Oreochromis niloticus: one gene and its partners. The protein of the gene in region 3 purifies or fractionates together with the protein of the main gene of each other region. This does not show direct contact. Links are inferred from orthologs where the notes say so. Each region holds a gene or a part of one and is shown on either strand. Other genes may lie near its edges. The genes, in order: ecsit, sertad4, ppp2r2ba and unconventional myosin-IXa.

The links.
Region 1: the proteins of ppp2r2ba (region 3) and ecsit purify together in Homo sapiens (affinity purification with mass spectrometry; 3 studies listed by BioGRID and IntAct, with this or other methods). This does not show direct contact. The link is inferred for Oreochromis niloticus from reciprocal best matches to the Homo sapiens genes PPP2R2B and ECSIT.
Region 2: the proteins of ppp2r2ba (region 3) and sertad4 purify together in Homo sapiens (co-immunoprecipitation; 3 studies listed by BioGRID and IntAct, with this or other methods). This does not show direct contact. The link is inferred for Oreochromis niloticus from reciprocal best matches to the Homo sapiens genes PPP2R2B and SERTAD4.
Region 4: the proteins of ppp2r2ba (region 3) and unconventional myosin-IXa purify together in Homo sapiens (affinity purification with mass spectrometry; 4 studies listed by BioGRID and IntAct, with this or other methods). This does not show direct contact. The link is inferred for Oreochromis niloticus from reciprocal best matches to the Homo sapiens genes PPP2R2B and MYO9A.

What each region holds. Positions count from the first base shown.
Region 1 is NC_031967.2:3,207,117-3,214,287, reverse strand, and holds the start of ecsit (evolutionarily conserved signaling intermediate in Toll pathway, mitochondrial), read right to left. Parts: upstream 3,013-7,171; 5' UTR 2,858-3,012; intron 2,723-2,857; 5' UTR 2,636-2,722; coding exon 2,483-2,635; intron 2,315-2,482; coding exon 1,915-2,314; intron 1,824-1,914; coding exon 1,600-1,823; intron 1,484-1,599; coding exon 1,426-1,483; intron 1,304-1,425; coding exon 1,155-1,303; intron 692-1,154; coding exon 586-691; intron 501-585; coding exon 172-500; 3' UTR 1-171. Other genes in the region: eml3 (echinoderm microtubule-associated protein-like 3), read left to right, coding at 4,697-4,721.
Region 2 is NC_031983.2:26,686,583-26,693,549, forward strand, and holds the start of sertad4 (SERTA domain-containing protein 4), read right to left. Parts: upstream 3,020-6,967; 5' UTR 2,249-3,019; intron 1-2,248.
Region 3 is NC_031966.2:29,656,435-29,664,394, reverse strand, and holds the start of ppp2r2ba (serine/threonine-protein phosphatase 2A 55 kDa regulatory subunit B beta isoform), read right to left. Parts: upstream 3,013-7,960; 5' UTR 2,033-3,012; coding exon 1,954-2,032; intron 1-1,953. Other genes in the region: rpl26 (60S ribosomal protein L26), read left to right, coding at 3,842-4,009, 4,105-4,245, 6,510-6,638. UniProt on the Homo sapiens protein: The B regulatory subunit might modulate substrate selectivity and catalytic activity, and might also direct the localization of the catalytic enzyme to a particular subcellular compartment.
Region 4 is NC_031972.2:44,062,308-44,069,886, reverse strand, and holds the start of unconventional myosin-IXa, read left to right. Parts: upstream 1-4,560; 5' UTR 4,561-5,049; intron 5,050-7,579. UniProt on the Homo sapiens protein: Myosins are actin-based motor molecules with ATPase activity. Unconventional myosins serve in intracellular movements. Regulates Rho by stimulating it's GTPase activity in neurons.

The DNA of each region.
Region 1 (7,171 bases), on a different chromosome or scaffold from region 3:
TAGTACTTAGTACTTCCCCAGATAGTCTGCTGTATTTTAAGGGAGTCAAACATTTGTGACTGAATAAATACGTTTGCAATCATTTTGTATGGCTTTATTAAATATGCTAAAAAGAATTTACAAAAACCTCCCAGCTGGTTGGGAGGGAGTCAGGAGGAAACTTTCTCCTGTTCACTGCTTCACACCCTGGCTTCTCCTGGGCTCCTCTTCCACTACAGCCTCAGCTTCTTCCACTACAGCCTCAGCTTCTTCCACTACAGCCTCAGCTTCCTCCCCAGGGTGTGCTTCTTCTCTTTGGACGTGTGAAGGAAACCAGGATCGACTGGCCGAGTCGGCGTCGCCCACCCCTTGCAGCTCCCGGGGTCCAGCGCCCAGTCGGAACAGCGTGGGGATCTGACCTAGGATGGGGTTACTCTCTTGGAGGCCAGAGATCCACTGATTGAGGGTAGCCTGGTCCCCCTGACTGGTCATGCACATGGCAAAGACTGGACCTTCATCCACTGGATAGACACACAGACACAGATCATCTATGTTACACCCTGGAAGTGAGGGGTTGTGGTCAACAGCAGTGATGCCATATCTTACAGTCTTCCACATCGAAGCTCTCATCGTCCCCCAGGTCGCGATCCAAATCCAGGTCTAGCTGCAGAGGATAGCTCAAACACCTCTCTGGGTCATAGGGCTCTTCTATCTGGGGGGAGGGAGGAGGAATGTTTTTGTAATTTAATTCACATATTCTATATTCATCAGAGTCTACAATGAGGGGAACACACAGGCGGTCACTGCTGAAAAGGCCGGCTGTTTGCAGATGACAGCCAGCCGAAGAACCGGGGAGAGCTTCACAGGCAGTGGAGTGAGGGTGGTGTCAGTTCCCCAAACACCAGCATGCACAGATGTCTACAGGAAAGCAGCTACAACTGCTGCATTCCTAATATCTGAGTGTATTAATGAACACACCAAGCTGGACATTTCTGTATTATAAATCCTGTTTTTAATTGATCTTAGGAAATATTCTAGAATCTGAGATTCTGGGTGTGACTTTTCTGAGCTATAACCCACAATCATTAGAATTCAAACACACTGTTATATGATCATCACACAGCATTTATTATCCACTACCCACTTTGTAATGGATAACAGTAATGTTCGCCCACCTTCTCTTCAGGTGGGGTAGGGTCAGCTCTGAGGACGTAGTAGTAAACACACGTTTTTCTCATCCACAGAGGGAAGGGGCCCTCCACAAACACGGGTCTGTCAGGGTTGTGCTTAGCGAGCGCTTCCATCTGGCCGGGGCTCTGGATGCCTGGTGCAAACACAGGAAAGACAGAAACAAACAACAAATATGGAAATTATGCCTCTATTAGTATTTATTAGCAATATATTTCTGACTAAAACACAGAATGTAGTTTCTCAAGTCATCCATACCTACTATATGTGGAAGTGTGACTTCAGCGCCGCTCTCTGTGACGTCTGTACAGGGCAGCTTGTGAGGAGAGCACACACACAAAGAGTTTGGTAAATACAAGATTTACATCTGATGACAAAAGTCAAAGACTGTTTCCAGCCTTCATGCTAAGCTAGGCTAACCCACACGTATACCTGGTAGACGGTCACTTTTGCATCCCAGTCGTTTGCCATGCGAGTGAGGCTGAAGCGTGCCAGGTCTACTGGGTCTTCAGGCAGTTGCTCAGGAATAGGAAAGGGGTTTACGTGCTTGAACTTGGGGAACCAGTACATGATACGCTGGTACTTTCTCATAGGGTGGGTCTTTTCTCCAAAGATCTGGACCAGCAGCACTTTGGTCTCAATGTTGGGCATGATACCTGAAGCACAGACACTGACACTTAGACACAAAAACAGTGTAAAGAATACCTCAAGATTCTCAGCAACTACCACAAAACTATAGACACCCACCATAATTCTCCATCTGCTCCAGGACCTGCACTCCACACTCCTGCTGACGGGGATAGTGGTTGAACATTCTCTGGATGAAGTTTCGCGGCACGAATACCTCTTTAGGAAAAACATCCAGCAGCTTGTTGTAGACAGTGAGGTCTTTTTCCACCCCGAATTCTGGCATCTTCTTCAGAGCAGCATAGATAAACTCCACATGACCTCGACGCCTTATGTCTCCCTTGGTGTAGACGTCTATCACTTTGTTAAATGTGGCCTTGGTTTTGGCTTCTTTGGCAACCTGCTCAAACAGGTCATCGTGGGTGACCAGAGATTTGTCCCTCGTCTTGTCCTCCTCCTGAACGAACCGTGCAGGCTGACCCTTGGTGCACGCTGGGCTGCTGTGGAAATGTCTCAACACCTAAAAGCAACATGTTTTAGTTATGAACGCATATAAAAATTCATTCATATGATCTGATTAGATTATTTATTGATTAACAACAAACAAAGAGTCGACTGCCAGCTGCCTTTCTCTGCGGTTATATCAGTGTGGTTTAAGAGCTTAAGTCTGGTCGCTGCTAAAGCTCACCTCGCGCTGTGCGCACTGCAAGCCGCCGAGCTGACTCGAGGAGCGTGGCCGGAATAGAGCGCCGTTGTCTCCAGCAGCAGGAGGCAGCAGCCTCCCTGCGTGGCTGAGCAGCCGCAGAGACTTGAGCTGATGCAGGCAGCGGCTGCCCTTCATAGTCGAGCCATCATAGCGAGTGTTAGAGAACAGAAGTGCGCACGGACGTGAAGCTCACACATTCACTCTTCGGTGAACCTCATCCAGCTGTAAATATTTGTACAGAACAATAAAACTTTACATTTCACATTTTTGTGAAGTTTAGTTCGTCAGCTGCTCAAACGTTGTAGTAAGGATAGTTATTATTATTACCCCAAAATGTATAACCAAGTTAATACTGACCATTAATGCCGACAATCGGACAAGACTAGAGTCTCCTTCAGAAAGCGCTGTCAATGTACGCTACCATGTTGAAAGGCCAGTACAGCATTCCGGTCCGACACGCGTTTCCTTCCCCCAAACAACGGAAACAGTGACAGAAATGATTGTTCCGTAAAACCGCAAATAAGCGCAGTAAATATTCTCCATTGAAATGCAGGAAAATTATTATTTAATCAATGCTATTATCCGCGTTGTAGCTATGATTCTTCAAACTATTAAACAAAAGTAAGAAAAGAGAACGCTAACTAAATTTAAAAAAAAAAAAAATCATTGTCGTGTTCTTGTCAGTTTAGTCTAATTCAGGAGATATTTCTTAAGGCAAGAGTCACCACTTTGCAGCCATTGTCGAGCTTATGTTGGCTGACAATGGAGTATTAAAATTCCCTTGAATTCAGATACACTCACGGTGACACAACGTTGCATTTATAGAATCGCTATATAAGGAAAACAACAAAACAACAACAAAAACAAAAACAAATAAAATCACAACTAAAAACTAAAAGAGATTTTAGTTATAAGGGAAGGGACGCGTAGAGCTGCCACCCAGGCAAAAGAAAAATACAGCTATATCACGTTATAACGTGAAAACTTTATTGTTCTAACAATATACCTTTCATGTTTGTACAATATAATTTTCGCGTTTGAACAACATAATATCACGTTTTTAGAATATACAGAATTATCACGTTATAACAAAAAAAACCTTTCACGTTCTTACAATAAATAAATATTTATCTGTCAATAAATATTATATTGTACGAACGTGGTAATTATGTATATTGTAATAACGTGATATTATGTTGTTCAAACGCGAAAATTATATTGTACTTACATGATGCTATATTGTACAAACAAGTATATTATTAGAACAATAAAAATTTTCACGTTACAACGTGATATAGCTCTATTTTTTGCCTGGATGGCAGGTCTACGCTTCCGTAATAAGGCGTTTTATATAAAATAAATAAATCACCTGTCTTGCGGGTATCTTTATGACGTCAGATCACTGTTACAAAAGGACATTTTTAACGTCAATTACGCTTTCTAACTGGATCAATAAAGGATATATAAAGTCACTTTACCAAAAACTAATTGAAGCTTCTACCTTGTGACAGGAATATTGTGTGTGGTGAAGACGACTGGATATCATTCATGAGGGATGCATGTGATATACGTTTCATTTCTTATAGGCCAACAAGTTATTTATAGCCGTTTGAATGCAGGCGATCACTTTCTGGCACAGGTTTCAGGGCTTGTAGTGCACAGCGCCACCACGAGATGGAAACAAATGCTCGTCTTCTAGCTGTCAGATGATGACTGCAGAGCTGCAGCCATAAGAAGCTGCTGTAAGAGTTCTGTGAAATGTTCTGGTATGCGGACACTGTGAAATCCTCTTTACTGAATCACTATGACTGAGGCGAATATCTGGCAGCACCTTTAGCCGTACCTGGTGCCTTCCCGCCAATAGTGTCAAGTTAGCTATAACGAGGGGCTACACTTCCGGAAGCGGTTTTCAGTCTGTGGTGTGATTGTTTTTTAGTTTTTCATTTTATATAAAGTAATTTCGAACTATATTTTATATTTAAGCTCGATTTACTTATAAGTACCCCCCACACCCGTGCGTTTAATAAACTATTACGCTTTATGTTGCGGAAAATTTCGCGTTTCCGGTATTCTTAGACCTGTCAATCGACTGAAGTCTCCAGAGTGTGGGCTGTGATTCTCTGCTGTCAGCATGGAAAACACACCTTAGTGCATGCTGCTCCTCTAGAAACAGGAGACACCGTTTAAACTGGGATTATGGATTCCTCTACCAACAGTTTGGGTGAGTACAGCAGCGACAGTGGTCCTTTGTGTTTGTGTGTGTGTTTTTTTACTGACACCATTAGCATTGTGGAAACTTCACTGTCCGTGCTCGGATCAGATAATCACATCGCTCTCAAAGGAACGCTGTCAAACAGCTTCAAAGATGGCAATCTTTAGAGAAAACTAGCATACACCGCACCATACACGTCTTTACACAGTTTAACTAACGCGTTAAACCTCGAACTTTGTTCGGCCGCCTTTCAGTCACACCAAAACTCTGTAACTGAACACTTAAATCCAGTTTTTCAGCAGTTTGGCAGCGCTCGTCGCCGCATTCTTTGGTGTCTTTTATTGCAAGCGGATAGTCGGCGGAACATCCGCTCTGTCTTTCAAAGGATTTTTGGTGCTTAATTTTGGGCTTTTCCACATTTCTCCATGTTTTGTTCAGTAACTCGTCCACACTTTAGCAAAGACAGACAGTGGTCTTAAACGTCGATGGAGAAACAGGACGTTACAGCAGCACTCTGTGACTGTGTAGATGTGTGGGAACGGGCTGCACATCGTTTACATTATTTCTGTGGCATTCAAATAGTTGTCTTAAGTCTGGCCCGAGTGATCAGGACACCCTGGAGGCGTGCCTGCAACGCCCTCACTTTGTGTTGCAAACTGAGTTGTGTGCTGCTGATAGATTCCATTTTGTCACGCGTGGGTAGTTTGAGCATCAACATTGAGACCACCGGCAGAGCGTTCAGGAGCCTGAAATAATGGAATAAAATGCACGGAAGATCGCAGCAGCCTGTGTCCATGCACAAACAGTTCATCAATATATTAGACGAAGTACCAGCTGAACATCCTTCTCTCCAAGTCACTGTGGGTTGGGTGAAAAAGCTCCACCCTGTCTGCCCCCACAATACTTATTATTATGCAGGAACTGGAAGTTTGATAGCTGCCCAGTGCTGCTTTTGATTCCCATCTGTATACAAACATCCACACCCCAAGCCTATCTTACATACTCATAACGTGGTTTCTTGAAAGCTGGTGGGCAGCCAAAGTACTGGGGAACAGCGAATATATTAATATCACATGGGGAAGCTTGAGGAAGGCAGCTGTGACTCAGTGCTGGAGGAACCTTTAAGACACAGCCATTTCTCTTAGTGAAGACCTGTGTTACGATGGTGATTATGTTTAATAAATGAAGGTTGTGATACATTACCTGCCTTGGAAAGCTGTATGAGGTGTGCTGGAACTTTGGAGATTTGCTTGTACCTCAGTGTCAGCTGGCTGGCTTATGTAATATGAGTTTGTAGGGATCAAATCACTGCTGTGTTCAGCAGTAACATGCAGATACTGATACGCAATATTTCCTCCACTGAATACAGCCCAGTATGGTGGACAGATTTGCAGGAATCAAATGCCAGCATAAAAGGTGAAGTAAATCTGACATTAGATTAAATGACTGGCTGATAGACAGAAAAACTATCTTTGCAAACTAATCATAGTAATTTTTTAGGGAAGAGGGGACAAATGTGCAGTGTATGCAGATTCCAGTGCCACACAAAAGAAACTTTACTGCTTTTCCAACAGTTTACTTCTGTTAATGGGTATTTGAGACTTAACAAAACAAGACATTTTAAAGATACTGCCTTCAGTTTTAATACTGATATCATTTTTTAGATGTTAAAAATAAAGTAAGATAATATATCCATATTGGAAATACAAAATAAGCCTGTTATCTTACTGCATTTCTGTTGTTTCATAACATGAGTCCTGTGTTCTGTAATTGTTGTGTCCATGACTTTTATCAGTAATGATAACTGTACAAGTTCAGTCTGGGCAGAAATTTGGAAAAGCATGAAAAACTCCTCAGATTTTCAAAATGCATTTACTGAGTCACTCCTAGCAGATGAACATGGACACATGCATGCTTTGTGTGTGTCTGTGTGTGTGTGAACACCATACAACCCAATGAAGTATCACACCCTCTTAAGTAACTGCATAACTTTAGACGTTACAAGAAACTCCCCGGCACAGAGTAAGGAATGGAAGACCTTTGTTTCAAATGACAGATGTGCTGAAGTCTGTAGTTTATGGCTCAGGAGGTAAAGTGTTTGTTTACTAGTTGGGAAGATAGTTTTTTCATACTCTGATCTTCCATAAAAGGTCACAGCTTATGCTAATAGGGTCAAATAGACCAGATTAGAAGAACTGTATAGAAATTCCAGTGAATGTGGGATTTATGTTTGGACGTAACTCAGCGTTACCTTGCTTACATTGGCAGGAATCCTAGTAAAGGTGGGGGATCGTACCATTAACCCTGACTGACTAACACTTCTTTCTGACCCACACAGATCATGTACAGTCGCACACTTAAAGGAGCTCAAGTGCATAAGCATAATATAAGTACCAAGCTCTTTACTATAAATGAGAACAGTGGAGGGAAAATAGAATCAGTGAAACGCTTTGCTGACA
Region 2 (6,967 bases), on a different chromosome or scaffold from region 3:
GGGGACGGCTTGTTGTGGCTGTGAGGGTTCACGGGCCGGGGTTGTGTGTGGGTACGTCACTGCCGATGCTCCCAGAGGTGGACATGCCGCACAATAAAGACAAGCAAGGGCATCGTGTGTGTTTGTGTACAAAAAAAAAAAGAAGAAAAGTGTAACAAATCCACTTTTCTTCTTCCTTCTGAACCTGTGCATGAAACCAAAGGTGATTTTTTTTTAAGCTAATAAAAAAATGGGAGTGAAATCCTCCAAGACTGCACATGTGTTAGCAGTTATGATAAGTGATTAACTACTTTTCCTTTCTGGAATGTGAGGCATTTTGAAGCAGTGTTTGTACATGTTGCATTAATTCTGTCAGGTCGAAATTCACCCCAGACACCCACACTAAAGCACTGAAAGAAACCTTTGAGAAAATTCCTCTTGAGCCAGAGGATCTCGGGCTGTAAATACTGCCCGTGAGCTCCTTGCTATAAACGAGAGCAAGAGGAAGTCACACCTTCCTCTATTTTTACACTTAATTGTGCAGAAACAAACGTGCGTTATCCTTTCCTCTGAAGTTGCTCTTCGTACTTGTGTGTCATTCTGGAGCACAAAGGAGCATTCATGATGGGAAAGCTGTGCCTGAGGGGGGGAGGGAAAAAAAAGTCTGGGGCTACACCCTGCGGTCCTGACACACACACAAAAACACTCACTAAAGCAGCTCAACTTGTCTTGGCTGAGACCTTTTACACAAAACAGAGCAGAGAAAGAGAGGGACAAAGGGGATGATGTGAAGCCAGCCAACTATCATCACCACTGACATCCCTTCAGCATTATTTTTCCAGACTTTCCTTTGCACTGGAGTCTCTATAATCCACTACATCTATCCTTTTTCTGCTTTTCTGCCTAATTACATACCAGTGCAGGTTTGTGTATGAGCCGCACACTTGTTAATTTTATGCTTGGCACCAGTGCACTGAATCTCCTTAAGCGTACACTACATGTCTGCTAAGAGCCATGTTTTGCAATGCTGCTCCAGATGTGAGTCTCTGCGCCCCACTGAGGGAGATGAATAGCTGGGGGGGCTGCAGGCTACCTACAGGTTCACATCCTTAATGAGCAGAAGAGTCTGCTGAGAGCGAGATATGATTGATAGCTCAGCAACAGAACTGAAAGGGGGAAATCACAGCGAGGCTTTTGATAAAGACGGTGGGGCGGAGGGGCTCTGGCAGGCGGCAAAGAGAAGGAATCTGGCATCGGACTTGCCCGAGCTGGATGCCAAGAAGCCGTCCACCGTGCTGCAAAAGCCCCGACGCTTCCTCTTGTTACAACCCCTCTCGTCTGTACTGTCTGACCTGGATGTTTCTCCCTGTTTCGTGCCTCACTATATTCCACATAGCACTTTTCACCCCCCTCCAAGGGAAACAAATAGCAAAGGTGGAATTCCTGGCAAGTGACTCCGGATGTTGTTGGCAGCGAGAGGAGGTGAAGCGTATCCAACCCTATTACCAGCCGGCTGCACTCGAAGCCTTTATTTCACCAAAACAGCAGATACAGAAAGGCGGAGGGAGATGATGTTTATTTATTGCCTTCACTCCATTACGCATGCCAAGCTGGAATTTTTTAATCCCATCTGGGGCTAACAGGGTGTTAATAGTCCACCCTGGGAGCAGTGGATGCTTGTGACTCTAAGCCCGAGAAAGCACAGAAATGACATCAAGGAGACAACAGAAGCTCAGGAATGAGCTAAATCGCCTAAAAGCCTGTCCTTTCAGAAGGCAGCAGTAATACAGGCAACCGCCACTTCAGGATTTGCAGCCAAGAGCAGTCGCCACAAAAATAATGAAGTGAGGCTGGATGGGTGCCAGGAGAGTGGCTGGTTATGTCAGCCTGCGTAATGTGTAGGACCTGGGTGTCTGTCATGTCACACCAGTGAGCTATTGAGCGCCCCGGTTCTCATTAATCCGGCAGGTAGCAAGATCTATATCAGGTTTATCCAATAGTTTACTCAGGTCGGTAAAATCACGCACACAATTCAGGAGGACGCACAAAAACAGTTTCAATAAACATTTTCCATTCACAACTTAACATGTAGCACATTAAAACAAAATCATAAGCTACTGTTTAACAAGCAGACTGAAAACAAGGACCGCGCAGTGATTCAAAAACGAACCCAGACCGTTTACTACTTTATTTTAAGAGCCTACTTTTACTTTCCAGCGCCGGGATCCTGAGCACGTTCACACATTAGAGCGAGCAGATATGATCTTACCTGACTTGAATTGTTTTGACCTCGTCCTCGGCTCCACACTTGCTTTGTGGTAACGGCAGGAATCCAAGGTGCGTTAATGAAAAACGAAAAAAAAAAAAACAACAACTACTAAATAAATACTACCGCGTCCTCCGGCGGCTCTGCCTCGGTCTAATTTTAGACTCCTGGCAGACACGCGAGGCGCACAGGCGGGTTTAAATACTACTTGTGTAATTACCAGTTAATTAGCGACTTGTCTACATACTAATCAGTGAGCGCGCGCCGTTTTTCTTACTGCACCCGCGCGTTTTCCTAGACGGCAAAGGTTGACAGATGCCGCAGCTGTTTTATTTGATGTTTTCTTGTCTTCTCTTCGGCGGAGGGATAAAGGCGAGCCCCGGCTCTCTCTGTGGTAGTCCATTCACGGTGGTTCTCCGCGCAGAGGGTCCCGAGCTGCTCCCGTCGGTTGACAGTTAATATGAACGTGCGTCGGAGAGAAAACAACAGCAGCAGCGCCGCAGCTCCATCCCGACCAGTCAACTACTGCTGAGGAGTTCACGGCTTGCTCGGAACTTCCCCCACTCTCCCGTTCTCAGTGACTTATCGCGCCCGCGTTATTGTATGTCGATTAATTTGTTATTTGTTTTGCAAAAAGCACCCACAGAAGAGCGTTTTTATTACCACGTGATAGGGCCGTGGCTGGGTTGTTATGTGGGGGATCCCTGGGTACAAATTAAAAGTCAGCCAAATCCAGTGGCATGTCCACGTGGTCGAGACGACCTGCCGAAGTTCAAAGCCACCATCAGAATGAGGAAGAAAGGTGATTTAAGTGGGTTTGAACGTGGCGTGGTTGTTGGTGCCAGATGGGCTGGTCTGAGTGTTTCAGAAACTGCTGATCTACTGGAATTTCCCAGCACGGTCATCTCTAGGGTTTTCAGAAAACGGTCAGAGAAAGAGAAAATATCCAGTGAGCAGCACTTCTCTGGAAGATGCCAGAGGTTAGAGGAAAATGGCCAGATTGCTTTGAGCTGATAGGAAAGCAACAGCAACTCAGATAACCACAAGTTACAACAAAGTTTTGCAGAAGAGCATCTCTGAACACATAACACATCGTAAAACATTGAAGCGGACGCACTCGAGCTGCAGAAGAGCACACTAGGTGTCACTCCTGCCAGCCAAGAACAGGGAACTTAGGCTAAATTGTACACACTGCCCGGTTTGATGAGTGGTGATTTCTGCTGGAACATTTGGATGGCAGGGGCAGCATGTGGTGCAAACAACATGAAAGAATAAATCCATCGTGCCTTGTATCAATGGCTTACAGTGCTGCTGCTGCTGCTGTAATCATGTTTTTTGGCACACTTAGTACCAATTGAGCATCTTTTAAACATCACAGTCTACCTGCGTATTGTTGTTGACCGCGTGGGTCCCTTTACCACCACGGTTTACCATCTTCTAGTGGATTCTTCCAGCAGATACCACGCCGTGTCACAAAGCTCCAATCATCTCAAAGTCTGAGAGGAATGTTTCCAGAACATTGTTGAATCCATGCTATGAAGAATTTAGACCATTGTAAAGGCAGAACCAAAACTATATAACTGTTATTAAGTGGAAAATGAAACAGCTTGTGCTTTTTTATTGTTTTTCATCAGGATTATGTGCAGCTACTGTTGCTGTTCATTCCCCGTCTCAGTCCTTTTACTCCATCAGTATATGGGATGACACAAAAATATAAATATGCAAATACTAAAATAATAAGTAATAAAAACACCAAAAAATAGTTTTCACAGGCTGCTTACTGTGCCCAGGATGCTCATTGGATAATCTGACCAGTGTAAGACAGACACATGGGTAAAATTCTGTAACATGTTATGTTATTTAATTAGTTTAGTCTGTTACTAAACTGTAACCCATACAATTTCCTTAGAGATTAATAAAGTATTCTGATTCTGAAATACTGTCCAAGGATGCCGGTGTCCCAAGTTCCTTTCCTTAGTTCCTTCAATAAACAAATACGTCATTGAAAAATATTGTGAATTTAAAATATATATATATATATATATATATATATTTGCATGGCTGATATTGGCCAATGACAAATACATAATTACTTTTCATTGCTTTTTTGTTTGTTTTTTGTTTTTCAGAGGATAAGGTAGAAGAAGATATTAGCTAATTATTGTGAAAGTTAGAGACTGGTTTCTAAACAATCATTACTTTCCTTATAAGTATCGTGTATGTAGCATAAACTTCCACCTTGGCCCCAATAATCCAGCATCCCTCAGGCTCAAATTTAAACCTGTTAATCAGTAGTTGAGAATAATTTGAATCCAAGTTGCAGACAATGGGTATTTCTTAATCTACTTAATATTTTCTTTATTAACCACTTTACATAATCCTTTGGTCTCTAAAAAGCGTGCACTTCGGCTTTTGCCTGGAGCCATCAAATGTTGGTATTCTGCAGACACTCTGCAGGGCTGTTGATGCTCGCTGCAGAAACGAAATCACCTCAATGTTTGGATTACAGTTAATGAAGCCGAGTGCCGCAGCAGTGTGCGTGCCTTTTTGTAAGTTCTGATGCTTTCATTCATTTCTGCCTGAAGAACTACTTTCTCTTCTACTTACTAAAATCTCCTTCAGGTTCAGTTAAGTTTAACTAATGTCAGTAAATTGATGCCTCTTTTGTTTGTTTTGCAGGACTACTTATTGCTCAGCCATCCTGGCAGTTGCTTATTGTTTTTATTGGCTGCACCATTGACTTCATTTACTTTCTCAAACGTCCACGTGCCCTCCGGCTGTAATAATATAATTTCCGACAGCACCTGAAGGATTCTAACAGCTTTTTTTTTTTTTTCAGACAGGTTGTGTGTTGGAAGATCTGCTCTGCAGGGATGTGACCGACAAAGAGAGGGGAGGGAGCAAGCCCCTCTCATCTGTTATGCATTTCCCCTTTGATTCCACAGCAGCCACTGAATCTTATTTTCCAGTGTTTCTCCCTGAGAGCACTTTGTTCTGCGTTCAGCTGTGGAACGTGTCTGGGAACACAGTTAATTGTGAAAACCTTGTATCTCTGATCTTGTTTTCTCTCTCTTTACCTTCTTTTTATATGTAGCTCAAACTACTGCTGGGTGTCAGGATCACACAAAGCAGAGGTGTCACTTCACCACAGCAAAGTCCCCGACAAGAGGGGGGAGGGCTGACAGCTTTAAAGTTATCTGTCTGTGCAATAAAAATGAAGCTAGAATTAATTACACTCTTGTACAACAAGTTAAAACATATTTAGGTGTAGAGTAACAGATATCCACCTAAAGATGCGCTTGTTTGTTTTTTAACGTTCCTTTTCTGTGCCACATGCCATTTTTAGGATTTCTGCAATAGAGCGGTATTTAGATGTACACTTGGGTGTAGCTATTATATCTTTGCCTGTGGGGCAGAAACGTTCATCAAAAGACGCCACTGTACAAGTGAGCCCCTCTCCGCATGAGCTGCAGGCAGTCTGATTTCGAGAAACAACACTGCCGCGCTCATTTTGAATTCATGCAAATTTCGGTGGTTTACATTTAACGGAGGAGAGTTAAAAGTTTATAAAGTAAGTGAAGTTCAAACATTGACAAAAAAGAAACAGAATGTAATGGTTGCCCCACCTGTTGGTTGTTTTGTGGCAATGCAATTTAAGGCAAATTTTTGAACATTAATTCAAACGCAACACACAATTAAAAAAACGCTTATATGATGATGGTTTTTTTTTTTTTTTCTTTTTTAAACAATATCATCACATAGAAATTCTCTATCAGAAGTCAATTAATAAGACAGTTTACAAATCAAAGTCAGTCCAAAGTACAGGAGAAAAATACATTTATAGGTACGTTAAGACACTGTGACACAAGGTTGCTGAGTGAAAAACAGTAAGGCACCGATGCCGTCTGTGGCATAGGTAGTTTCTAAAAAAAAAAAAAAAAAAAATCACAAATTAAAGCCAGCCTTAAAAACCAGAAAATTCTTCAAAACTTGTAAATTAAATGAAAGCATAAGAAACAATACAGCAAAGCATAAACATACAAGTCTAACCACGTAATTAGTGGAACACAGCCTGTGAAAGATTAACACATTCAGAGCTCGTCGAAGTGATGTTAAACAGGTTTCTGTTGTTTGGTACGGAAGCAAAAGAAGACCAGCAGAGTTGAAATTATTGTACGATCTACTGTGCAATATAAAGCACCTTGAGGCGACTGTTGTTGTGATTTGGCGGTATATAAGTAACATTGAATTGAATTGAACTGAATTGAATTGAATTGAAATATATACACTGCACTGAATTTAAACGTACAGAGATCTACTTTTTGTTTTTCATTCCCTGACTGGAAATTTTACTTCTGTTTTTTTTTTTTGTAAACAGACTACATTAAACAGAAAATTAATGTGTCAAAAGTTTGCTGTTGCACATCTAAACTTCTTCAAACGACCCTAAACTAACCTATAACTGTAAATTCTGCATTTTTAAATTGACTTTCAAATATTTTCACTTGTTTCTAAAGCACTACATGGTCTCACATGCTGGCAGCAGGTGAACCAGTTGGCCCCTCGGGTCCTCGAGCAGCTGCTTGAGGACAAAAATGTTTGTTTCAGTCGATGAAATTAGTAGATTCTCTTTCTTAAAAAAAACAAAAATGCACTGCTCTATTGCAGAGGGGTCAAATTATTGGCCTCCATCAAGCAAGGAAAACAACTTTGGAGAAGCTG
Region 3 (7,960 bases):
ATCTCTCACTCTTGCTTTCTCCATACAACTGTTTCATATTTCTTCACACAGGGAGCAGCACAGGATCGTGTATCATATTACCAAGGCTGAACAAGGCAGCCACGGTTTTTTTCTTCTTCTTCTTGATCTATCACTTCCTCTATTATACCACTCTCTCATGTCAGGCAGAGGGATGGAGACTCAGAAAGTGAGTAAACAAGCTTGGAGTGAAGACAGTGAAAAACATTTTGGTTGTTGGCCGCACCTCTTAACATCAGGGAGCTCAAACTGAGTTGGTATTTGCGATCGAATGCAGTAATGATAAACATTTCTATCATGTTTACTCCATGTGGTCATGGTGAGAAACTAGGCTACAGGAAAAGCGGGTCAATTTATATTTTACAAGACAAATATAACATCTCTAAATTTAAAATCCACATATGTACACTCTAAGTATATAAGAAAAGTTTTCCATACCCATTTGTTAAAAACCTTTTTTGTAAGTTATTTTGTTGTGATTCATATTTTGTGCAATGCATTGCTCCTGATCTCGTTTATAGCTTGCATCTAGTATTAGATAAACACACTTTAAACCTTGGACCTTGGATTTTATACAAATTCAACAATATTCTGGCTGATATAAATAAGATGACGTTTATTGACGTCAGATGCTGATATTTGTCTGACGTGTTGTGCCGCTTTTGTGCTGATTAAATGTTCAAAAGCTGTGTGATGGAGATCTAAATGACTTTGAAACAGGTATATGTTCAAAATGCACTCAGATTTATTTCCACTGCACAATCAGAGCTAACTAAAAACAAAATAAACAACTAGAATCAGTGCTGGCTTTGGCTATGAGACAAACTGATAGCCATAATTTCACAGTCAATGTCTATCTTACATCCGACCTCCGCTTTAAGTGCTGTAATTAATGTTTGATAATCATACTTTAAATGGCTAATCAAGATTAAATTAGTCAGAAGGATGGAGGGAAGAAAAAATGAAATTTAGAACCGGGAAAGATCTGTGATGAAATAGAGAAGACACATAAAAAGTGCAAGAGTAGGTAGCCTCAAGTGCTTCTTCTTCTTTGGTGAATATATACAGTATATAGGTCAGCTCTACATGCTGTCTAAGACCTTGTCAATGCCCACAACATACTGGGACGTACAGTGTATCACACTATCTTCCCTTCTACCAGAAGGCTGAGGGCAGAGCACACACAGGAAAGAGGGCAACCATGCAAAGCTAAATAATGCAATGCCTCAGTCTCCACATTATGACCTAGTAAGTGGTTGGTTATACAAACACTCAGACCCTCTTGGGCTGTGTCTGACAGCACAATCAGCAGGATTATGAAGTCATTTCTCGGTCTAACAGCATGTCAATTCGCCATTTTAACTTCAGGGACTCCAGGGGAATAACTGGAATGGGTGAATGTGAGAGGTTTGGGCGACGTGTGGAGATGCCTAGATGCTCTTGAATTAAGTGATCTAGGCAGAGTGTGAGCTGGTGAAATGAATGGGAGAACCATGAGTAAGGAGCAATGTGGGTACTTGTCATGCAACTCCACAAACTGACTTTTTCTCTTGGCATCCTGTAGGCCTGTGTGTTGACACCTTTAAAGGGAGCAAAATGCACGAGAGTGGAGTGACACTGTTTACAAGACACAGTCACACACACACACACACACACACACACACACACACACACACAGAGTCTTGGAACGCTTTCTATAATTTGCATCAGAAATCTAGATTTGAGAAAGGGCTCCTTCAACTTCATGCACAGTGTCAAATCTGCATTGGTCTGGGTTAACCCTTTGGTTAAGCCGTAGCCCTTCAAGTGGCCAGCCTAACTTCTGCACATGTGTATCATATGTGCAGCAGCCTAAAAACATTGATGTCACAAGGCTCAAACTAAGCAACTCACAGACCCGTGAAAGCCACCCCCCCGTTAAGCGTCCCACCCTACCTTCGGTGTGGCAAGTGGAGGACAGGATGGTGCTCGGAGGGCGGAAGAGATACGGGAGATAACGGGAAAAACATTTCATCTTCTTCTCCGGTGCTTGCTGACGGGTGTAGAGCGTTGCGTTGCGGGCTCCACATCCGCACTGCTGCCGCCGACAGCCAGCCACAGAGGATCCGGGGAGGTTCGGAGAGGAGGAGGGGGGAGTGAAATAGGCTCTGTCCGCGGTGCAGGGGGGCTATGACAGCATCACTTTTTCACAGCCAGGCAGGAAGGCAGGCAGGCAGTAGGCTCCGGTAGAACTGCGCTTCACCCGGGGAGCGAATAGCGCACGGTGTCAGAGCGTCTCCGCTTCGGCAGGTCGCTCCGTGTATGTGGGCGAGTTTGTCTGAGCAGGACAGGGGGTCGCTTCTGTCCTCTTATCATGGGAGGTCAATGTATGTGTGGTCTGCTGGTGTGAACACCCTCCTCGTGTTTATTTCTCAGCGTATTTGGGTTTAAATTTAAAAAAAGAGCAGGGAAAGCGCAATTACTTCGGCGGGAGCCAGGAAGTGTTTCCTTATGAATTTGGCAGTCTGTTTTATATTAAATGTAGCTAAGGGCAAATACTTTGTCTGGAAATTACACTGAATGTTTTTTTGGGGGGTGTTACCGATAGAAAATGTGTTTTGCCGATCTATTAATGCTACTCACACTTATCCCTAATGCCTAAAAGAGGGCTGTGTACTGCACAGAGCCCAGAACTTGATGAATCATAGACAAAACTTGTTTGTAAACCATGTTATCGATTAACTAAGTTTGGCGCCATCTTGTGGAAATATTTAACGTAGCGAGCAAACACAACTTATAACGTCACAAAAAACAAACCTAGTAAACATTGTTGTGCTTGTTTACTAAAAACGCCCCTGCAATTTTATAAACTAAAAATTATTACGTGGCATTGTTTAAAAAATAAAGTTGTTATGCTGAATAAAAATCTTAAAGGTCACCTTATTTTAGTCGAATTTAACTCCTCGCAGCACACGCAGCACTAAAACAAGTTCCAGTACGACGAAATTGTGTCATGTTTGCCAGACCCCTCTGTGTTTACGCTTGTGTTTATCTGTGTTATCATTTTAAACACTGACTTCTCGCGAGACTTGAGTGTGAACTAATGCCAGCGGAAGTAGTTTGCGAGTCTCTTTTCCGCCGGCCATAGAGGAGCAAAGGCAGGGTAAGAATTCTCAGCAGATGAATTCGCCAAAGTTATCGTTATCCATCCTGCTTTTAATACCACTGTGTGTCCGTATACAAGTGTAAACCCCACATATACTTCAGTACAATTAAAAATCAGTGAATATTGGCTTCGTGTTGACGATGGATTACTAAATAAACGCTGTCAGTAGTTGGTCTCCCTGTTAGGTCCTTCAGTATCCGCATGTCGGTTAGCGATAGTGAAGCAGCTCTACTCCTGGTGCTAGCCTTTAATATTTGACCTATTTTACATTCTGTAAGTGTAGTGGGCTTTTAAAAACATTTTTTGTAGAGTGTGTAGTTTGTTCAACCACTGTACCGAGTTTATGTTGCAGAAATATCCCGCTTCAGTCTGACGGCTATCTTATGCTAACTGCTTGAGCTAGCTTAATAGTCGCCTTTAAAACGTAGCACAACCTAGCCAGGTACCTAATACAGCAAAATAACACACCTAGTGGACATTCTAGGTTTGGGTTTTGGGTTCTCAGAGTTGCTTTATGTGGTGTCAGGAGAAAGTAGTGGGTTCTTTAACCCTACATTCTTATATTTTCCTTAAAACTGTAGATCCTGATCCACAATTTGAGTGGACTGTTTTGCAAGCAAGTGCAGCCTTTATCCCCTGGGTTTGTCAATGTGCTATTACTTGTTTCTTTACAGCATCATGAAGCTCAATCCCTTTGTAACATCCTCCCGTCGCAAGAACCGCAAGAGGCACTTCAATGCCCCCTCACACATCAGGAGGAAGATCATGTCTTCCCCCCTGTCTAAGGAGCTCCGCCAGAAATACAACGTGAGGTCCATGCCCATCCGCAAAGATGACGAAGTCCAGGTAATGTGGTTTGTATTGCTGAGGGGTTCTTTTTCATAGCAGATGTGCAACATGTTAGGCGGATTAGTCTGACCTGCTTGTGTATTTACATACAGGTTGTCCGTGGACACTACAAAGGCCAGCAGATTGGCAAAGTAGTCCAGGTCTACAGGAAGAAGTATGTCATCTACATCGAGCGTGTGCAGAGAGAGAAGGCCAACGGAACCACAGTCCATGTCGGCATCCACCCCAGCAAGGTGAGACATAATTGAGTAGATACTGAGTTTGTTTGAGTAGACTTGTTCTGTGGTAGTGTCACACATGGCACTTACTGTTTGTTTGTGTCAGGAAGTGGACCTGAGAGATGTAGTCTTGAGCTTTCCATGTCACAAACTCTTAAGCTGATCAACACAAATTCAATGTGGAGAGTAGCTATATAAGTATTTCTTGGGTATTTTTGGGTTCTTAGTGTGTGCTTTATCTATTGTAATTTTGAAAGTTGAGGTATTTTAGATCTTGATGTTTGTTTCTTTTCCTAAAGCTGGCTCAGAGCCCTGTTCAAGAAGCATGTTCAACAAATAAAGTATATATATAAACTTTGAGTTTAAGTCTTAGGTCTGCAACTCTTAAGCTGTGTCCACGTTGAAAACGATTGTCGTGTTGTGCCTTTTAGCAGTATTCTTCATTCTGTGGTAGTCTTTTCAGTCACTGGTCTGAAAGTCTGAGGGTTCCCACCTACTTCACATTGATAACAGTTACGTCACTCAAAGTCGCCAAATATCATTCACTTTTTATTGTGTGCTTACCAGATTGCTGTGAACTGCTAAAGATTTTGGTTCCAAAACAGCTAATCAGAGTATCTTTATTGAATTTGAGTGTTCACCTTGAGTTAAGCACATGCATGAGTAGGGAAAATGTAAAGCCATCAGAGGAGCTCTGACACCAAGATTCACCCAGAATCATAGGATCATGGGATTTCTTCATGTCTGGGTTAATGAACGGAGGGATGTTCGCTAAATCTGCTTCCATGAGTAGTGCCCCAGTCACTACTGTAGTAAACTTCAATAGCATTCAGGTGCTTGACTCTCTCATTCTGCAGTCGGACAGACTACTTGACTAGTTGTCGTTGTGTGGGACGGTAGTAGCCAAAGGTGGTGTGTGTTGTGATCTGGAGATTGTAAGCTGGTGTTATGGTTCGTCGTTGGTATACTCTCTGCACATGTATACATGTATCCACTTTCCAAAGTAAAGTGGAGTCAGATTCCTTACTTGTGTGCACAAACAAAATAAGGGTGACTCTGATGTTTCTGATTCTGCTCATTGCACTTCAACGCCACCTTAGACCCATTTAAATATGGATGCTGGGTGCTGTCCAATCGCTGTAGTCTGCTCCTAAATTGATAAGTTTTCAAGACTCGATCACTGCATTAGTGCTGGTAAAGAAAAATCCAAAACAAGTAAACATTTTTATTGTGCAGAATAATTCAACTGCTGTGGTAGTATCCCGCTGTGCTATTGGGAAATCCCTATGTTCCTGAAGTTGATTTATCAAGGGACCAACCCACTCACACTTGTCTCCAGTGAGGCTGCAGTGTTTTAACAAAAAAAAAAAAAATAAGAGGAAAAAAAAAGGAACCTTTACAACAAGCCCAAATGACACCAAAACTCAGTATGCACCAGCAGCTCACTAAGGGCTATGAGGGTGCCATCAGTCCTTCTGTCTGCAGACTTCCTTTGTGGACAGTGTAGGATTACTAGATAAAAGATGATGCCACATCTAAGCCAGACTTCAGGTTTCTATATTACACATGTGTAAAGCTGCCTGTTCGGCTAAGATTTGCTGCTAACTAATTATGATGACTTAATCCTGCTCCCGGGTGCACGCCCTAAACTCTGATTACAGGTAGACTGAGAGAAATTTCACTTGGTTTTTGACACAGTGTTTCATCGTACTCTGACACTTGGTATTTTGAGCACTGAAGTTGAAAAATCAAAGTAAAAGTGACCAAATAACATTTTGTGGAGTGCAGTTGTTCTAGTTTAGCTGGATTATAGATTTTTTTTTTTCTTTTTTGAAAATTTGCTGATGCTGTTCAGTTCTAAATTACAGTGTAATGCATTAAACTACCAAAAAACCTCTTTCTGTCAGTTCTGTAAATCTGTAAACACTGGTGGACAGCTGAAGCAAGTACAGAGCTAATGGGAGAGCATGTGACATCTTAGATGCGGAACATTGGTAATTTAGGAAGAATTGAGATTATATTTGAATTTCAGCATATCTCTTTTAATTCAAATTTTTTAGTTTGTTTTTTAATATTTTAACATAAACTGGAAAAGCAAGATTTTCCTTGTACATTTGGGGGAAAAAAATCCTTGGTTACAAAAACAGTGGGGAACTTTTCAATTATTAAGCAATGTGTTTTTGTGTAATTTTATTAAAGAGATTTGAGGATAATTTCAGACATATTGCTATCCGTGAGAGAATACATGTTTGTTTACCAAGATGTTTTTGTGCCTGCAGGTGGTCATCACCAGGCTAAAGCTGGACAAAGACCGTAAGAAGATCCTGGAGCGCAAGGCCAAGTCTCGCGCTGATGGAAAGGAGAAGGGCAAATACAAGGAGGAGACCATTGAGAAGATGCAGGAGTGAAAATGATCTTTTGCTATCAATAAACTCTGTAAATGGACCTCATGTTGTCTGTCATATTTTCATTGTAACGCCCTAAACTCGGGAATGTTTTTTAGTATTTTATTTTAAACATGCTTGCCTTGTTTATGGAAATTAACACTTGGGTATACTGTATGCCATCAAAGTCATGTTCAAATCTCTAAACAGCACACTGCATTACAAGGAATGTAATGAATTGGCCAGTGCTGCTGACCAATTCATTCATTTTCCAGAGAATGAGTAAAATTGTCACATTCAAAGGAGAATTAAATCAGATTAATTTATCTTCACTGACAAAATGGCATCCAACAACTTTAATGTTAATAAATTAACAAAAAATAGTAATGAGTTCTTCACATTTTTATTTTAGTGTTACAAACAAGCTGTGGCCAAAATTGCGTGATTTTATCATTAAAATATGTTCAAGGTGAACTACACAAAGAAATGTTCTTTAATTGCGCAAATGAGTGTAGTTTTGTTACAGGCAAGGAAATTCACGTGACTGACTATACACCACCTCAGCTTCTATGTTGATTTTACTATGAAATGAAGTGAAAATCCAAAATACTGCAAGAAACAAAAAAATATATCAAAGCATTTAAGCAGAATTATGGAAACCCAGCGTTTGCTCTAACAGATCCAGATTAATATACTTTATGGATCCTGCAAAGAAAATTACTTTTACAGCAGCAGGATAAAGAATAAAAATGAAATCTTATGTCCTGACAGGTGTGTTCACCTGTCACAGAAGAAGAGCTGTTTTATAGAGAACAGTAGGAAACCATTTTGGTTTTAAACAAGCTGATGAATGAGCTCTGCTGCCTCTGCAGAGAGGACTGCGATGACCGTGATGGGTTGTCCATGATGGACAGCAGGTAATTCAGTGACCTCTTGCTCTTCACTGAATGCCTCTGGGTTCTTGCTGCCATCTCCGACAGTGTTCAAAAGACAAGAAGAAAAAAATAGATTTTGCAAGAAATTTTACATTAAATTTAGCAAAATTCTACTGAAAAAGTGAAACTTTTATATGATAAAGACTCATTACATGCAAAGTGAGCTATTTCAAGCCTTTATTTGTTATAATTGTGTTGATCGTGGCTTACAGCTTGTGAAAACCCCAAATTCAAAAGCTCAGAATATTAATATTAATAATACCTTTATTAATATTAATAATACCTTTCACAATATTCTTAATATTGTGAAAAGGTCGAGTTGTAGGCTCAAAGTGTCCCACTCTGATTAGCTAATTAATCCAAAACATCTCCAAAGGGTTCCTGAGCCTTTAAATAGTTTCTCGGTCTGGT
Region 4 (7,579 bases), on a different chromosome or scaffold from region 3:
GTTATGCTTCCATCCACGAATTTCCCAGAAAAAGTATGAGGCAAAGACCGGCAGTGTTTTTCTTTTTAGTTTCATGAGTCATAAAAGTCACATCATGAGATATAATTAACTGTGACACAAAGAAAAATTAAGAGAAGATTATGAAAAGACGGGATGTCCGACTTATTTGCACGGCTGGGAAATGAGACAGGTATTAGACATTGTGTCATTTCAGGTGGGTGTCAGACTGGAAGATTTTCCCAGAACATCTTTGATATGTACTGTATGGGAAACAATTGTTCACCAGACAGAATTTTTAACAACATTTACATCATTCTTTGTGACCAGCACAACTCAGCACTTTCAGTCTTATTTCAGTCAGATGTAAAAGTGCAAAAGAAATAAACAATCATCAGGTTGGCTGTGAAAACAGGACTTTAATGGAAACACAAACAGAGTGGATACCCGTCTTTTATAAATCTTATATAAAAAACATTAGTTTGACCTAAAATATATATGTTATTTGCTTTGTGTGTGTTCCTGCTGGTACACAGATGTTGCCACTGTGAGACGGGGCCAGTTTTCACCCTGTTTTAAATAGAAAAATTTCCAAGTCTCAAATAGCAAGAGGTGTCTTTGTTACTGTCTGCTCTGTTCCCGAGGATACCGATTTTTTCTTCATCCTATCTCAGGTTTCTCATGTCAGTAGAGCCCTGTCGGCCTCCTGGCTAAACTCCCCTCCATTTAAACGTTTCTAGTCGACTGTCTCCATCACCCCGGCCTCTTCTCTCAGCTCCTGTTCCTCCAATTTAATGTGGAGCTACTGTCATTTTGGACGCTGACGCTAGCCTGAATGCGTGAGCCGAGGGCCCCACGACGCGGAGTAGGATTCCAGCTTTCAGGGCCGAGGGGAGGATTTCCTTTTCAACATGTCTGGCTGGTAAATATGTCACCGGGCTGGAAACCGATCCTGTGAAAAACAGGTGGGATGTTTTCAAACCCGCTACAGGAGTGCATGTGATCTGTCTTTCTTCCCTCACACACACACACACACACACACACACACACACACACACACATATTTGAATGTAAAGAGAGTTAGTTCCCTGCCAGCAAAGGTATTATCTGTCAAGAGTAAGCAGCCCTGGAGCAGTTTATCTGAGATCGGCTGCTAAATCTTCTCTCATAAGATTCCTCAAAGATTTACTGTGTGTGGTGTGTCCGTACCTCAAAAGGAGTTACATTTCACCGAACACCCCTGCGGTGGAAACGAAAATGAAACGACAGTGACCTTTCCAGTGACAAATCCATCTTGACACAGAGGTGTGTTGTGTGAAGCCAGTATTGACTCACAGCCAGCTCGCTGTCATCACACGCCTCAAAGAAGAAAAAAACCTGTGATTAATTCTTATAATGACGTAGCAGAAATGTTCCTGTATACTCCGAGTTTTTTATAACTCTGACAATAATTTATTGCTTGATGCCAACGGCTGCGACCAGGGACCAATACTTTATCAGTTTGTTGTTATTAAAAGTTTCAACTAATGCGCAAACCACCAAATTCACTGCAACTTTGCATCCATGTACTGATGCTTACCAGATACAGTTTAACTCGTTAGCATGCATGTACAGATGTTTAGTCCACCAAGAAAAAAACAAACAGCAACTATGTAACTGATAACAGACACGTGCATTTTCTTTATCTGATGCCACTATGTTGAGAGTTTTAGGTGTTTTTTGAGGTGTGGCTCTGTCCACATGTGCACAGGTGTTTTGGAAAGCACAGGGTTTATGTGTGTTGTGCTGTGAGGTTTAGTTTGAAAAGATTTATAAAGACTTAGAAAATCAAAATGTTTATCAGGGAAGAAAAAGGAAATCAGATGATTATGATCAAGCATGGTGATCTGTGACTTTGATAAAAAACCAGTAGTTTCTTTCTCTGTCTTTGCCATTGTGCTTACTTATTGTGACATTTTTCACACATTAAGTTTTAAAAAAAAAAAACTTAGGAGACCTTGCTTTGGTAGAAAAGACAGTCTTTAGCTGGAAATGGAAAAATGCCATTGTTACTGGTGTCACCGTTGCGTCGCTTCTTTGCCCTTTCATCCATTCCAACCACTAACTTAATCACTTTCTTTATCATTTAGCAGTAAAACACATCTTGTTTGTTTTTACATTTAAAAGAAAAGTATTATACGAAATGATGTAGGTCTAGTAACAGCCTAAAAACACAACAACAAAAACTAACTCCCTAAAACTGCAGTTCCTCTAGTGGCCACTTGAGGTCATAGACTGCTGTGTTGAAATTTCCAACTTTAGAGCATTCAAAATCATGAGTACAACCTGCTACAAAAACAGTCCTCACCCCCCATTAGATAACTTTCCCCTCTATACTAACTCAATGGAAGTTTGAGGTGAGTGAAGTTCTAGTATTTAATCAGTGTGCTCCTTGGTATTGTGTCTGTGCAGTTTATGGCTGTACCTTGCTAACTAAACTTGCCAGTGAAGACCAGGGACGTCAAACTGATTTTACACTGTAGGCCACATACAGCCCACTTTGATCTTAAACAGTGAAACTTTGTTTTCTGTCAGTGTAAAGAAATTGAATTACACTTTTACTCCCTGATATAGCTTAATAGTTAATTCATTTGAGTTCAGTTTTATTTATATAGCACCAATTCACAACAACAGTCACCTCAAGGAGCTTTCTATTAAAATATATAATATATTATAAAATTACAGTGAAATGTTCCGGTAGCTCATTGCCCAGACTGTCCTATTATAAAGTAACGTTTTTATTAATTACAGAAAATATCCTCTTTTTGACCCACTGTAAAAAACAAAAATAAAACAGTGGGGGGGGAAGCAACTTTTCTATCTGTTGATTGTTTATCTGTTACTGTGTTACTTTGGCATAGCAAGATTGGCCATAAGGGAGGTCTTTATCAGTAGGAAAACTTGTAAAACTTTTACAGTTAAAACTCCAAAATGTATTGGATTCATTGCTGTGCTGATTCTGGCCCCAGGCCTTAGGCTTGACTCCTGTGGCTGATAACATCACATCACTCTATTTTATGATCATTTTTGGGTCCAAAAACAAACAAACACCCAAAATAATATGACAGCTTCCAGCCAGGGACGCCTCTGGAATTTTTTCATAGCAGAAGTAGCTTAAGATTCACTTTCCCAGAATGGAGTAACCTAATGTCCGCAAATTTGGGGGGCAGTGCCCCCCCTTGGACCCCCCTTGGTGGCGCCCCTGCTTTCAGCTTTCATTGTGAGTTGTAGTTCAAAATCAGTGTTTGACGCCTTGGTATTTTAAACATATTTTAAACTGTCCCTGAGTGCAACGTATGTACAGCCAATAAATATCATCATCAAGGAAATCATTCACTAGTTTTTAAGACACTTAACTTTTAACCACAAAGAAAAGCACACAGGGGTTTCTGCCAAAAAAAAGTCAGGAGGGATCAGCAAAGTCATTAGGGTTCATCCTCTGGGGATCATTAATGCTTGCAGCCATCCATCAAACTGATGCCGAGATGTTTTGGCTTGGCCCAAAGTGGTAGGCTGACAGACATCGGAGACGTCGCTGAGGCTCTCTAAACAGCCCAAAGACAACACTGGGAGTGCCTGAGATGTCACAGAACAGGTCGTGAGAGATGTGAATCCATCCTGGCATCACACAAGAATGTCTGCACATAATTAGGTCTCTTGGTAACATGTCTCTGACAGCAAGTGGTAATTAAATCAATGATACACTCATGCTACACTATAAAAAGTCCCTGACAGCCATTGGGTTTGTTTGTTTTTTCCACACTCAACATTTGGTTTATCCCATATAGAAGGATGTAAGATATCCACAACACATTCTGCAGCTAAAACAAATGCAGCCTCGTTGTCTAATAGATCTTTGGTGGCATATTTTAATCATGCACAAAATAATAGAAACATGTCAGTAAAGTCAGTTCTACTAAGGACACATTGGGAAGCTGGAAGCACATCAAGGCCCAGACACAGCCCTGCGTTCACTTGCTTGTACTGTGAGTCAGTTGTGTTTGTTTCTTTCTTTACTTTTAATGGTTAATTCTCTGCTGTCCTTTTGGCCCAGTCGGTCTTGGAAAAACAAAAAATTTTTAATCTCGGTGACACGTCGATTAGGATTGCATGATTGCATCTATAAAACAATAATAGAAAACAGACAGTAAAATTAAGCTTTCTGTGTCATTTCAGTGATCTGTATTAAATAAATAAGGTAAGCCTTGGTTTGGATTTCATCTTCAAAATAAGTACTTGATTCTGCAGGTAGTACTGATTTGTATATTGCTCATTTTATAACTGGCTTAATGCAAAACACCATACTGTAAAACCCCTCCACTAAATTCAGTCTTAAATCTTGCAGAAGTACAAAGATATTTTACTCCAATTTATGCATCTTCCTGTGTGTGTGCGTGTTAGTTTATTGTATATTGGGTGTGTCAGCATTGGCCACACCCCTCTGCACGTCATGATCTGAGTGACACTCTCAGATCCAACACGTTAATTCTGCTCAGAAAAAACAAACTATCAAAAACTACTTTTATTGCTCAGGTCATCTCTTGAAAACAATCGCTGTTGGTTCATAGCAGTCTCCCACCTCCACCCACCAGCATCACTGCTATAAAGCGCCCATCCTACGGTGTACGTGAACGCGCAAACGCGAGTCCACGAGCGATAACAGCACCACGGCTCGTAGAGGAAAAAAAGGGAGAGAGAGCGAGAAGAGAGCACAGAGGAGCTGGAGGAGCTGCTGTGGGAGGAGGGCAGACGTGACGGGAGCACCCAAAACAGAAGCTGCCGGGAGTACGACACGGACAGAGGGACGGCAAAGACCGGATCTTATCTGCGGCACATTTTGGAGATTTGAGCAGCCGGATACGCTCTCTGTTAACGACGGCGGCTTTTTCCCTGCGGTAAAAAAAAAAAAAAAAATCAGCACGGGTGTTTTTGGTGAGGAGGTCTGCTCTTCCTCTTCAGAAAGGACGGTCTGTGGCGGAGGGCTGTGCTCAGACTGAAGGCACGGTGGAGGAGGTAAGCCTTTTCTCCTTTCTTTCAGCTCCGTGTTGTTCAGCTCCCGCTGTCAGTAAGAGCAGACACCGGGGTGAGGAATGCCAAACCTCCGTCCTGCGGAGCTGCTGGCTGCCCCGATCAGTCAGCTCATCGGCTGCAGCCTCCTGTCCACCCCCCCACCTTAGTTCAGATGTTCCACCAGGACACCTAACCCACACCATCATTCAAAAATACCTTCCACCTTATGATGCCTACACACACACACACACACACACCTACACCTTTCTCACGTCACCCTCTTCCACCGCCGCCACCGCCTCGGATGAATGTCACCCTGTTTTCTTACATAATGCAGTAAATGTGCGGGTACGGTTACAGATGTTGGCCGGTGGATGCGAGGCTCCACATCTGGCGGGGTGCAGCAGATAGACGTGACGCACTGGTGTAAACGGGTAAGACGGTCCGGGGCGCTGACCCGGCCGGGCTCTGTGTCGCAGAGGACGGGCTGCTGGAGCTGCAGCTGCGGGGCTTTGTTTTTGTGTCATTTACCTCCCCGCTAACGCGCTCTGTGAGCTCGTGACGCTCGGTGGTGACATTTTTTTTTCGTCAAGCGCGAGCCTCTCAGCTTGCTGACATCACGCTGCTGCTGCTGATGGGGCATAGCTGCTTTTTTTTTTTTTTTTACAGCAGGGCAGGAGGATGTTCAGCTGCTGTGGACGAGGCTCAGTATATATCCTGTATTATGTCCTGTTGATCACAGCGTGCACTTAGAGCAGCGTTCTGCTTTACCTGTAGTCTAAACAAGCTTTGATTCCGGCCTGATCGTAGATTCTGAATGGTTTGATTTCGAAACGTAGGCAATTCGACTTTTTAATGCAAATGAGTGACTAAAGAATGCACTAATTTGACACACATCCATCCGATCAACAAGTCTGACACTTGTCAGCAAAAGTAGAGCTATCAACACCAGAGCGGGATTTTAAGCTGTAAGCCTGCTACAGATTGGAATGAGAGAGCAGGTAGAGGAAATGTTGGTGTGATGTAATACCAAAAAGTACGAGCCATTTTGTGATGTTAAGTCAGGCTGAGGATGAAAATAAAATAACACTTGAGTGAGAGTCTGAGTCAAAATGAGGTGATTTCAAACCAGCTGACAGGTTAAAACATGCCTGCTTGGCCTCAGTCAGACCACCGGTGCCCTCAAGGTCTCCATCCACTAGCTCCGAAAGCCCCAGTACTAGTTCCACCCTCCTCCTCCCCTCCCTGTGGCAATCTGCATGAAATGCCACAGTGATGGCACTTTCAAGAAAACAGATAACAGCATTTTGGGTGGACATCTTTGACAGGCAAGGAGAGACAAACACTCCTCACCACCTCTGGGTGATCTTGAGCTGTACTGTCTGGTTTCACTCTCCCCGTTGCCGGTTCGGGATAAGGAACATGCTGCTTTTTTGCAGTGTCAACTTTGCTGACGTTAACATTTCATGCAGGTCATTATGTAAGCCCTTGAGAGCAGAACTGAAAACATTGCTTTGACAGCTCCAGCTGGCTGGCGAATGGGCTCGTGAGCGCGGCGAAGGAGCTCCAAAGCGGCCCAGAGATGTTTCGTTTTTAAATCTGTGGCAGATGAAGACATTTGTGAAAGCGGAAGAGCAGCCAGGTGGCTATTTTTCCTCACAAGTTAATATAAACACCACATAAGAGCACTCAAGGCACTGAAAGAGAGATACCAGTCATTTCAATAATTCATAAACAGTGGAAGCCTTTAATCTATTTTCTACAGCTGTTTAGAGGCTCTGGACCAATGTGTCTAGATTTGGCTTTTTCTTGACTTTTTAATGCAAATGCAATCTTCTGCTGGGAAGCTGCTTTGTGAACATCACAGTGTGCCAGTTTAACTCACTGGGGCCCATTTTCCAAACCCCTTTGACAGGGATCTGCTGACAGCTGGTCACTATTTATGAATCCTACCTTGTATCCAGAACCTGGGAACTTGTGCACGTGTCCCTGATGATATGGAGGCTCTCCACTAAGGTTTAATTTTATTTAAACACTAAATATGTAGCCTGGAATTATGTCGTTTATTATCAGAAATAATAATCCATACTGGGAACGCGGTTGTTAGTGCAGCAAGAAGGTCCTGGGTTTGAATCCACCATCACAGGTAACTTGAACCTATCCCACTATTCAAAGATGTGTAGGTAGTGAGGTTAGCTTAACTGGTGATTTTAAATTGGCCGCAGGTAAGACTGGGAGTCCAAATTATCTGTCTCTCTGTGTTAGTCCTGCAACAGGCTGGCAACCTGTCTAGGATGTACCTCGCCTCTCGCCCTACGGTAGCTGGGATAGGCCCCAGCCCTCCGTGACCCTGAATTAGATAAGTGGAAGATAATGGATGGACAAATCATACAATCTTGTGGTTCATTGCTCTCACATCTGCAGTTTGTTTGGTTGATGTGAAACAGGAAAACTAATGGAAATGTGTGAAGGAAGGGTTAGAAAAGAGAGGCTTATACGGTAGTATTAATAGGGAATATTTACCAAGCCAAGT